Neurospora crassa OR74A: one gene and its partners. The protein of the gene in region 2 purifies or fractionates together with the protein of the main gene of each other region. This does not show direct contact. Links are inferred from orthologs where the notes say so. Each region holds a gene or a part of one and is shown on either strand. Other genes may lie near its edges.

Region 1 (3,991 bases), on a different chromosome or scaffold from region 2:
TCCACGCTCTGTTCCTGGAACGCATGAAGAATGCCATCGATAAGGCGTTCTTCCAGACGCTCGCCAATATCGGCAGCACCGAGAGAGGCCACAATCTTTTCAACCGTCTCCACCGTCATCTTGCGGTAGGCTTCGCTCTCGTCCTTTAGGTTGGCTACGATCCTTTCCAGAATCTCGCTGACACCAACCTTTTGGCCAATGTCGACAGTGGTCTCAACGACCTGTCGGTAGTTGCGCTTATCCAGAGCCATACGCCGTACCCAAAAGCTCTTGAAGAACTCGTCCAGCACATGCTCCTTTAGGTACCCAGCCGTTACTCCATCGGTGGCGGCGCACTGTGAAATCACCTTTAGCACAACCTTCTTCATCTCTTCATCAGGAGAGGCAAATTCTCGTAGCAGAATCTCCATAATCTGACTGGTGTAATAGTTGGCATAGTCTTCATCCATAAGCGGGATAATATAACCGACAGCCTTGAGGAAACCCGCCAGACCCTTGCCTCGCTGCTTTCGGGCACCGGTCCAAAGGGGGTTGAGAATATCATCAAAGCTCTCGATACCGTAGGGGTTAGATGCCTCGGCGAGAGCTGCGATGGCCAAACTGGTCACTGTGCGGACCTTGGTCTGTTCATCGTTCAGGTTGGGTCCGATACAGTCAACCAGCTGCTTGAGATGGGGCAAGACTGCGCAGCCCATCAAGATGGGAATCTGCTGGACGATCTTGACACCCGTGTGACGAGCCTGCCACGACTTTTTGCTTCGGCACACAGCTCGCAAGAAGGGGAGCAGAGCTGGGATACCCAGAGCCGAGGCAACGACGGCAAAGGCTCTGGCAGTAGTGTTTCTGACATATTCATCGACGTGATCAATATCTGGACGCATGACACTGATCATTGTGGCAAGACCAGCAGCCTTGCTGAGGTTCGAAATGATTTCCCGACCCTCAACACGGGCATAGTAGTCCTGATCGATAAGAAGGGGTTCGATAACGACGAGAATCTTGTGAACGTATGGTCGAACCATGTCATCGAGCTTGTACAAAATACGATCAATAACCTTGACGAGAAGATGGCGTTCCTGGTCCTCCAATGTTTTCTCCATGAGCAGAGGAAGAATTTGGTTGAAGAGGGGGCCGGCACCAAAGTTGCGAGCATTATCTGTCAATTGTCTGAGCGCAGTCTTTCTCATAGGAGGAGTACCGTTCTTGACCTTCAGCAAGAGCCTCATAATCTTTCTCTCCTTGAGCTCTTCGACACTCAAACTTTCCTCATCTGCTCCGTCGGTGAGCTTGCCGAAGTATGCCATATCTTCGGGCTTGAAGAATTGCAGGTCTCCCACACCGGGAATCTCCTTTGGCACCTGCTGGCCTGTCATCCGTCCGCTGTCGGGGTCCTGCATCATGAAGCCCGTTGTTGGGGCCGGAGCCTGCATCAGCTTGTGTGCCGGTGCTCGCACGGGGGCATACCCTGGTGGCGGCTCAAGAATCTTGTAACCTTGTTCGGGGCCTGGAAGCATCGCGTCCAGCTCTTCGTCGCTGAGTGGTGCGTAGCGACCGGCCGCATCAGCCCCGAAAGCTGGGGGCACGACAGCGGTCTGGGTAGGGTGCATCGGGGTAGCTAGGCCGACATTACCAACAGGAGTGGCAGAAGGCGCCTGGTCCCAGCGGGATCGCTTCTTGGGTTCCGCCCCTGGCGCCCCTGGAGCGGGAACAGATGGTGCTTGATCCCACCTAGACCTCTTCTTGGGCTCTGGTGCCGGGGTAGCATCATCTGTAGAGGCGACATCCCATCTCTTCTTGCGCTTCCGACCAGCCGCAGCTTCAGTAGAGCCAGCCTCCTCGTTCTCCTTGTTACCGGAATCCTGAAGGGTAGGCTGGTGCTCCTCGACCGGACCGCCCTCCTTCATCTTCTGTTCAATGGCGCGCCGTACGCGCTCTTCCTCTCGCTCAAGCTCGCGGCGTTCCATGATTTCCCGGTAACTCTCGCCTTCATCAGTGGCACCTGCTTGGCGGTTGGCAGCAAATGGGTCGGCTCGTGTAGGGGTCAGAACGCGGTCAAATCGGCGCTTCTGGTAGTCGGTCTCCCTGTCGGTGATGCGGTTGCTCTTTTCGCCCCGGCCAGCCAGGGGATCATCCTCCTCGACGCCATCGCCGCGTGCAAACTCATCGATCTGAGCTCGGGTGGCGGTGTACTGTCCTACTAGGCGGCGGCCGGAGTCGGCATCTTCCATCTCTTCGTCGTCGCCATCGGCAGCAGGCAGGGTGGTGTGGTAGCCCGCAAACTTGTCGCCGGTGTTGCGCTCATACAGATCGGTGTCCCATATTTCTCCCAGCTTGGCTTTGGTGCTGTTGTCGGATCGTTGGTTGGCAGGATCAAAGCTGCGCGAACCGCTCTTGGCGGCAGCAGCAGCATTGCGCTCCTGCTGGAGCTTCTTGATCTGCTCAAAATCCGAGTCCGACATGGTGCTGGCCGTATCCTCCTCGTGTCATGTCAGGTCGGGGTCGTCGCAAGAATGTCCAGCGCGCCGCGAGGGTGAATGATGGTATGTGGTCGGGAGGAAACGGGACGTGATGATGTGGCGCTGCCCGTGGGTGGTTGGGTGGGATCGGGTATGGTAACTGACGGGGCAGCTAAATTGACGGTGACAGTTTTGACACTTTGTCGTGTATAACTGAGGCTATCAGCAAGGGAATAGACGGTGGAGGCAGAGGGATGCAGGTCACGGCTGAAGACGGGCGCAGTGGATGCGGTACGGTGCACACGCCTTCCCTGAAATTTTGGCCAGCGACTGGTGACGGGACGTGACCGTGAGAGAGCTGACACGGGCTTGGCAAGGCTGCACCTGAAGTTTCCACTCCAAGTGGCGCTCCAGGTGCATTAGGTAAGCAGTCCAGACCTCGACGCTTTCGATCGCGGTGGGGAGCAGGGGAGCTTCCATCCATTTCCACTTAGCTCATGTGGGGAGGCAGCACTTTCACTTTCCACACCCTCAACTTCCATCCATTTCACCTCTCTCAACCTCGCTTCATCTTCGCTTCGACCAGCATGACATCCCAACCTGCAACGCCGCTACTGTATGTAGAGTTGCTTTCAAATATCCGCCAGATATCGCTGGCCATCTCACTGGGCTCTGCAAGCGATGCGTCAACACGAGTAGTGGTGGCAGCGGATGGAGAGAATGTCGAGCTCACACACCATGGACAGTCACATACACTACATCTACCCGCAAAGGTAGCCCTTGGCGGCGCCATTCTGCCAATACAAAGACCTGGAGCCTCTGCGCTCTCCTGGAGGTTACCGTTGGGTCAAGGAACATACACGGATGCATCATCAGCCGAGTCGTCCACTTGGACAGCCACCGATTTGAAGGCCGGGTCCGAAGTTGTTTGTAGACAATGCCAGGCCGTTGTTGTCAAGCGAGATGTTGTCAAGGTGTGGAAAGACCTCCCGAGTGAGAACTGGGCTGAGATGATGGAGTTTTGGCACTGTCACAAACCTGGTGACCACGATCATGACCATCACCACCACGACAAGTCAAACGGCGTTGATGCCAACGGGCAAAGCGATAGGGCAGATGACATGAGTCTTGCAGCTCGAGGATATGGCGCGAGCTCGGCCATTTCGGCGCAACAAGGTGTTGGGTTTGTTGATCTGACAACGCTGTTATTCGTCGAGCAGGACTGTTCCAACATCACGGTAAGTCCATATGTAGCATGCTCATGACTTGGTCTATTCACCGTCTCGAATGCGTCCATTTGAATCTTAGCAGTCGGGGCATCAAGAAGGTAGCCAAGTCGGCCTCGGCCCCTCAATGGCATGGATACCGATACAAATGCCCAAAATCAAGCAGACTCTGTCCCCTGCTTATGCGGGGCATTGAGTGGTCGACGAACCTGACTTCTGTGATGGGGCGCTTCCAGTCGGTGGATGACAGGCTGAACCCTCCGCATTTCGCCAGATCATTGCCAAGTCCTAAATGCTCTGGGATTAACT
Region 2 (3,245 bases):
GATTCACCCGGTCCCTCCATGGACGAACCGGACTTGTAGCTGGCATACGGTGGTCCCCATGCTCGAGTATCGTCGCCTCTTACGGGATGCTCGATCTTGATCACTTCTGCGCTCAAAGGGTCTCAGCTGGCGCTCGCGCACTTTGGGGTCGATGGACTCACCCGAGATCTCCGAGAATTTGTGTACAGTAAGGCTGGATGGAAGAGCATGTCAGCTCGTCCCTGTGTGAGGGTGAGTTGTCTTCTTACCCCAGCCAGCACTCTGGTCATGTCTAGCACACGGTAGCCCTCAAGTGGAAGTGTTCCATCCGCGAAACGGACTGAGGAGCTGGCAAAGCAACGACGAGTTGTCGCCGGGATAGAACGGCGCAGCGCCGAAGCACGGATGGCCTTGAACAAACTGCGGCGCATCATATTGTATAGAGGCTATCACAAAACATGGAGAAACAAACGGTCATAAGCTAGTAACTAGGCCCATGGGAGCTTCAGCCAAGACAGGATGACATGAATGCTACTCTATACCGGCGATCGGTGGAGAATAACGGAAGCCGTTCCTGTTCCTTCCCCGCAATCCCGGGAGTCCAGCCGCCGGATCCCGAGGTTTACAATGCACCTTCCAGCGCGATTCCGGTATTGAGACGGCAAGCGCCCACAAACTCAGCGGCATCGGCCACGATAAAACGAACCCCACGATGCCGAGTAGTAATTGTTATTCCGGGTGACAGTAGGTAGCCGTCCAAAGTAGATATTGAAGATACAGTTAAATACTCTTTCCTACTACATGAAATTGTTCGACGTTGTGGTATGATGGAAACGATAACGGCCATGACCCTATACACCATGTCAAAACAGCTCTGTCAAGTTCAAGTGACGGTGACGAAGGGAAATGCGCGCTCTTCAGATATCGAATAGACGACTGGGCCACATTTTGACAACAGAAATACATCCCACAGCCTCATCAGGCCATAACTTTGCTCTGTACTAATCGATGTCAACTCAAACCTCCTGCATTGTCGCTAACACTTGCAGAAGGTTGGCAGCTGCCATCAGCTGACCAATCAGAACGCTCAGTCTCTTCGCCTGAACGCCTGTCTCGACTTTTCCACGGCGCGTCTTGGGGAGTCCACACCTGTCCCATCAATTACACCTGATATCATCCATCATCGAAACCCATAACCTCACCCACGGTCCATCGCCTTATCTCGACCACATTGCTGACACGACACACATACATTCACCCCCTCAAATTCCACACGATCTAGTCTGATAATAAGAGATACGAAACGAAAGCAACATGGATTACCAGAACCGCGCGGGCTCTAAATTCGGCGGCGGCGGCGTAGCCTCCCACTCCGCCACCAACGCCGACCGTCGCGAGCGTCTGCGCAAGCTCGCTCTCGAGACCATCGATCTCGACAAGGACCCTTACATTTTCCGTAACCATCTCGGCTCCTTCGAATGCCGTCTGTGTTTGACGGTGCACCAGAACGACGGCTCCTACCTCGCCCACACCCAAGGCAAGAAGCATCAAACAAACCTCGCTCGCCGTGCCGCCCGCGAGCAAAAAGAAGGCAAAGGCGAAGTCGATCCGCAGACGGGTCTCCCCGTCGGCGTCGTCGGCGCGGGTTTCGCCGCTTTGGGACTGGGCGCCGGCGGCGTGCGCAAGAACGTGGTCAAGATTGGTCGCCCCGGATACAAGATCACGAAAGTGCGCGACCCCATCACCCGCCAGCAGGGATTGCTGTTCCAGCTGCAGTACCCGGATATTGCCCCGGGCGTCACACCCAAGTGGCAGGTCATGAGCGCCTTCAGCCAAAGGGTCGAGGAACCGGACAGGAACTACCAGTACCTCCTGGTCGCCGCGGAGCCGTACGAGACATGTGGGTTCAAGATCCCGGCGCGCGAGCTGGACAAGCGCGAGGATAAGCAGTTTGAGTTTTGGGACCCGGATAGCAAGGAGTACTGGGTGCAGATCATGTTCATGACGGAGCGCGAGGAGCGCTTCAATGCGGCGCCTGGGTTGACGGGGAGGAGGTGATTTGTTTTACTCTTCTGGTATTGCTTCAGATGAACGGTTATTCTACACCCACGTTCGGATTTGATCGGGGATCGGGAAAATATGCTTGGCGTTTACGGAGTTTCCTGTCATTATTTGGGTCATGTTCAGCCCCAATTCGGCTTCTCGGACGTCCCCACAAAGTCACGTAACTTTTGCAGGAGGGCTTACTGGTAGAAAGAAGGTGGAAGGGGGAATACACAATCCCCAGAAATTGTGTTGAGGACCAGATCATGATCCGGTCATTGGCCTTCGTCCAACGGCGATCTGAATCGGCATCATATAAAGTCCGAAGAAGCTTTGGGCGGACGGCCCATCCGAAGCACGACGATCGCCGTTGAGCGGGTATCGGGAAAATGGATCCAAACCGCTCGCAACGGCATAGGAGATTGGGACGTTCGGTACGGACGGAGATATCAGACAAAACCGGGACTTGAGAACGATACCAAAATCACCGGCAGAAGGGACCTCGAGATTGTTGTTGTAAGGATATGTATATACAGTCTTGGAGTTGCGTGTTCCTCCTAGCTGACATATGAAACAGACCCGATGAGCGGACATTACGCCCATTATCGCCTTCTTTCATGAAACGTGAGTGTATCGATTATCTTCATTATGTGATAACGTGAGGTGACTTGCATGCTGTCGGCTCTTCAGCCACTTACCACTTTATCTTTAAATATGGAGTTTGTTTGCATGCTGTCTTTCTAGCGAAGCAGGCCATATGGGTGGGTTTACCATTGTAGCTCGTATAATTCTGGCAGTGAAGTAATGATCCTCATGGTGAAATTGCTTATATACAGTAGAATATGCTATCTCGACTACGTAAGTAAACAAAGGTGAGGAGCGCTGCACTAACAGCTTTCTCCCATCTTGCCTGTAGTGCATGCTTCCAAAGTCCGAACCCATCCAAAGACCCCCTTTAACCAAGCTCAGATCTGCCTTTTGTACATCATTGTCGAGAGCAATTAGAATTGCAAAAAAAAGACAACTGCACTAGCAAGGAGAGGCAAGCGAGCCGAGCCCCGGGAAGGGCTTCGATCCTGCAACAAAACCAAAACCACGACGACACGGAGCCCAGCAAATTCGCAAGCCCTGCAACAAGCAAGGGTTGTCGGATCTGGTTGGACCGGTGACTCGGAAGTATCTGTAAAAATCATCACCGCAAGGTTCTAAGAGGTCTTGGACTA
Region 3 (3,518 bases), about 2.6 Mb from region 2:
CCTCAAGAACAGCCAAGCGTCTACCGCTCGCCTTCAATGCAATCCTCGAATGCAGAGAACCGACCCCCATCGCCGAAGCAAATGACCCCAATAGTCGAACGTCATGCTCTAGCACCAATGGCTACCACACCGGACAGGCCCACTTCTCCTTCCAAACGGACGATTCTGGGTGCCCTTCAAAGCACTAAGCCTTGGACCGCGGCAGATCTAGACAATATATTCTCGCCCAACAAGAACGACTACGATAAGGAAGACGGCATTGACAAACTCTTGCACAAGGGCAGTGAGCTCACGAGCCCGGAAAAGCGGATGACCGTGGAGGAGTGGATCTATCATAATGCCAACTTGGCTGAGCAGAGATTGAAGAGGGAATGCGAGGAGATGGTCCTGCTGTTTGAGAAGCAGGGTGCCAGAGCGATGGAAGCTTTGGAGGGGCTTATCGTCGAGTAGTGAGTGAGTGGCACGACCCTTGGGCACCAAATTATCAGCATAAAAGGACGAGAGGTGTGGATTCGCATACTAAATCCCGCTTCTGGTTCAAGGTCGGGCAAATTCTGTGTGTGTGTGATACCAGGTAATGGACATGGAACTTGCGTGATGCGTTACATAGCAAGCTTATTGTGTCAGTGACTTTGGCTTCTGGTTTGAGTAGCATGGAAGGCGTCATTCGACGTCCGGTTAGACGATGTAGGGATAGCATTGTTGGTGACGTTACAATGGAATTGCACAATAGTGTGCATCATAACGAAACAAGCCCTAAAGTTACAGCTGCAGGTTCTTTAGATGATGCCGGGTTGGGGATCTGGACTAAAGAGCGAGTGTGATGAAAGTGGTTTTGGTTTTTCCATAGCGGGCGGTTAGTGGTTGTGAAAGCGTTTACACCAAGAAGTAGAACGAAAACTTGACAGCAACCTGGCGAGATAGCGAGTAAGAAACATTTTAGGCCAACAAGAGGGCAGAAAATGAACATATAATATCTGACTCTAGTACCCTAGTCTTTCAGACACAAACCGTGTCGACTCTGTTTAGGAGCTCCGTGTGGTTGCGACTTGCAAGTAATCCGACGCGCAAGGGTTAGGGTTACTACATCGTCCGTTTTTTTTTTGCGGCGCTGTCCATGACTTCATTGGGGCAGGCAGCCTTGTCAATCTACTTTGGTAACTTCACTACAGCCACCAATTACGAACCACGCGACGCGCTTCAACCTTTTGCTTCTTTAGTTGACTTCCATCAATTTCAATCTCGAAGGCGAACACAGGACATACGGCAATTCTCCTGGCTGTAATCAATAATTAATCACCTGTTTGCAAAGCCCCTTTGCGCCGCCGTATTACAAAAGCACCACCAGCAACAACCATCACAAGGTACCGACCGGCATCGCAGTAGTAGTAGCAGCGACAGCTCGACAGCTCCCCGTCGTCGTTGCACTCCCGTCGTCACAATGAGGCTGACGGCAGACCTTATCAACAACTCCCTTTCCTATCTCAATCCGCTTAAGGAGCGAGAGATAGACCTCCGAGGTGCGTTCCATCGAGAAGAGCAGATACTGCACGGTTGATCTTCAAGTTTCCAAAAGCGCGTACAAAGAACAGAGTTGATATATCGAAAACCTATGTTGGGTTGGGATACATGCAATAGGACACAGAATACCTGCTATTGAGAACTTGGGCGTTGCTGGGGTAAGTTTCTCCCTTCTCCTGGTTCTTCCTCTACTGCTAGTCCTGCTACTGGTAGCCCGTTTCAACCAAATTACCAATTAATGCAGTTTGCTAATCCGGTCGCTACTACAGCCCCACGATGCCATTGATTTCACCGACAACGATATCCAAGTGCTGGGCAACTTCCCGCTCTCTCCCCGCATACGCACCCTCCTGCTCGCCCGCAACAGGATCGCCCAGATCCAGTCGACCCTACCGAATGCGACCCCGAACCTGAAGAACCTCGTCCTGGCGTCCAATAATATTGGCGAGCTGGCGGATTTGGAGGTGTTGGGAAGGTTTCCAAGGCTTACGCACTTGGTCTTGACGGACAACCCCGTTACCAAGAAGGAGGTACGTCACACAACGCCCTTTCGTCGCCCAGTGTTATGCGGCTGAGAGAGAATCGGAGACGGGGGTGGCAAATGGAATGAATGTACGGAATGGCTGACAATGTTTGTCGACACACAGAACTACCGCTACTGGGTCCTCTGGCTGTGCCCTCAGGTTCGCTTTCTCGATTACGTCAAGGTCAAGGACGCCGAGAGGCAGAAGGCGAAGGAGCTGTTTGGAACCGCTGATGAGCCGACGGAGTTGGCCAAGACGGTATGTACCTTGTCTTCTTTTTCAATGTCATGACAACCCTGCTAACATGCAAACAGATAAAGGGAATCAAGAGCAAGACCTTTGACGTTGGCGCCAGCTCCGCCAACGGTGCGGCCGGCAGTGGTCCTTCCTCGAAACTTTCGCGTCTCAAGCTCACAGAGAAAGAGAAGAAGAAGTTGCAGGATCTGATCAAGAAGGCCGACAGCTTGGAGGAAATCATCAGATTGGAGAAGGCGCTCAACGAGGGACGGCTGCCACCTGGCATTATCGCCGAGGATGACGATGCCATGGAGGAGTAAGGAGGAACCAAGGTGACGGGCACCTGACGAACGTGGTAGATCAGGTTGCTATATGTTCGTGATATGATGGCTTGCAGAGGTGACGAAAAGGGGGAGGACGGCACTTCAAAGAGCTTACCATTTGTCGGCGTTCGGTTCTAGATGGGGCTTACTGCAAAATAACTGTATACCAAATTGCGCAAATTTGCTGGGTTGAAACAGAGATAGTGAAACATGATAGTGGTGTCATGATTTCACCGCAGCAATCGGAGCGGCCTTGAGGAAAGGGACGTTAGGACGAGCATATCAAGGGCCCATGGTCTTTGATTCGGCAACTCTACACCTCTTAACGTCTTGTACTCGCCCGGATATTCAACACGTCTATTCGGCTCTGTATGTATGGACAGTCACTCAACTAACCCGTCATATCCACATCCCCATCATGACCCCGATACTGCTGTGACGCCGCCTGCCTCATCTCCATCTGCAACTGCGCGCTGGGATCCTCGTCCGACGTAGTAGCTGGCGGTGATGCCGACAAGATACCCCTATTCATGCCGCTCATCACACCAGGAGTAGAACTAAATGGTCGTCCCGAAGCCGACGACATGCCCACCACACCCGTCGTGACACCCATATTGGTAATACCGGTATTAACCCCGCCAGCACCGAGTCCATTCACCGGCGCCGCCAGCCCTCCAATGCTTCCACTAGCACCGCTTCCTGTACCAGCAGGCAACCCCCCATTCATAGACATCAAGATGGACGTTTGCTGCAACCCGCCGGACCCCTTTTGCTTCTTGGCATTCGGCAGCATCGCCATCCTATCCCGCTCATCTCCATGATCACCCACTTGTCCCTGCTCCAAAGATAGCATAACCCCCTCGGGAGCTGCCAGTCCTCCCATAACCGGTCCAGGCGCCAAAACGACCGCGGC

The links. The genes of interacting proteins can lie anywhere in the genome.
Region 1: the proteins of NCU07299 (region 2) and NCU03042 purify together in Saccharomyces cerevisiae (affinity purification with mass spectrometry; 3 studies listed by BioGRID). This does not show direct contact. The link is inferred for Neurospora crassa OR74A from reciprocal best matches to the Saccharomyces cerevisiae genes PRP11 and HSH155.
Region 3: the proteins of NCU07299 (region 2) and NCU06622 purify together in Saccharomyces cerevisiae (affinity purification with mass spectrometry; 4 studies listed by BioGRID, with this or other methods). This does not show direct contact. The link is inferred for Neurospora crassa OR74A from reciprocal best matches to the Saccharomyces cerevisiae genes PRP11 and LEA1.

What each region holds. Positions count from the first base shown.
Region 1 is NC_026501.1:8,343,984-8,347,974, forward strand, and holds the start of NCU03042 (U2 snRNP component prp10), read right to left. Parts: upstream 2,801-3,991; 5' UTR 2,460-2,800; coding exon 1-2,459. Other genes in the region: NCU03041 (hypothetical protein), read left to right, coding at 3,044-3,694. UniProt on the Saccharomyces cerevisiae protein: Contacts pre-mRNA on both sides of the branch site early in spliceosome assembly.
Region 2 is NC_026504.1:4,474,537-4,477,781, reverse strand, and holds NCU07299 (splicing factor 3a subunit 2), read left to right. Parts: upstream 1-1,129; 5' UTR 1,130-1,293; coding exon 1,294-2,037; 3' UTR 2,038-2,745; downstream 2,746-3,245. Other genes in the region: NCU07298 (CAIB/BAIF family enzyme), read right to left, coding at 1-111, 162-193, 249-413. UniProt on the Saccharomyces cerevisiae protein: mRNA splicing factors, PRP9, PRP11, and PRP21, are necessary for addition of the U2 snRNP to the pre-mRNA in an early step of spliceosome assembly.
Region 3 is NC_026504.1:1,833,621-1,837,138, forward strand, and holds NCU06622 (U2 small nuclear ribonucleoprotein A'), read left to right. Parts: upstream 1-1,142; 5' UTR 1,143-1,441; coding exon 1,442-1,520; intron 1,521-1,638; coding exon 1,639-1,679; intron 1,680-1,790; coding exon 1,791-2,051; intron 2,052-2,168; coding exon 2,169-2,303; intron 2,304-2,359; coding exon 2,360-2,602; 3' UTR 2,603-2,996; downstream 2,997-3,518. Other genes in the region: NCU06621 (hypothetical protein), read left to right, coding at 1-450; NCU06623 (hypothetical protein), read right to left, coding at 2,997-3,518. UniProt on the Saccharomyces cerevisiae protein: Involved in pre-mRNA splicing. Associates to U2 snRNA in a MSL1 dependent manner and is required for normal accumulation of U2 snRNA. Required for the spliceosome assembly and the efficient addition of U2 snRNP onto the pre-mRNA.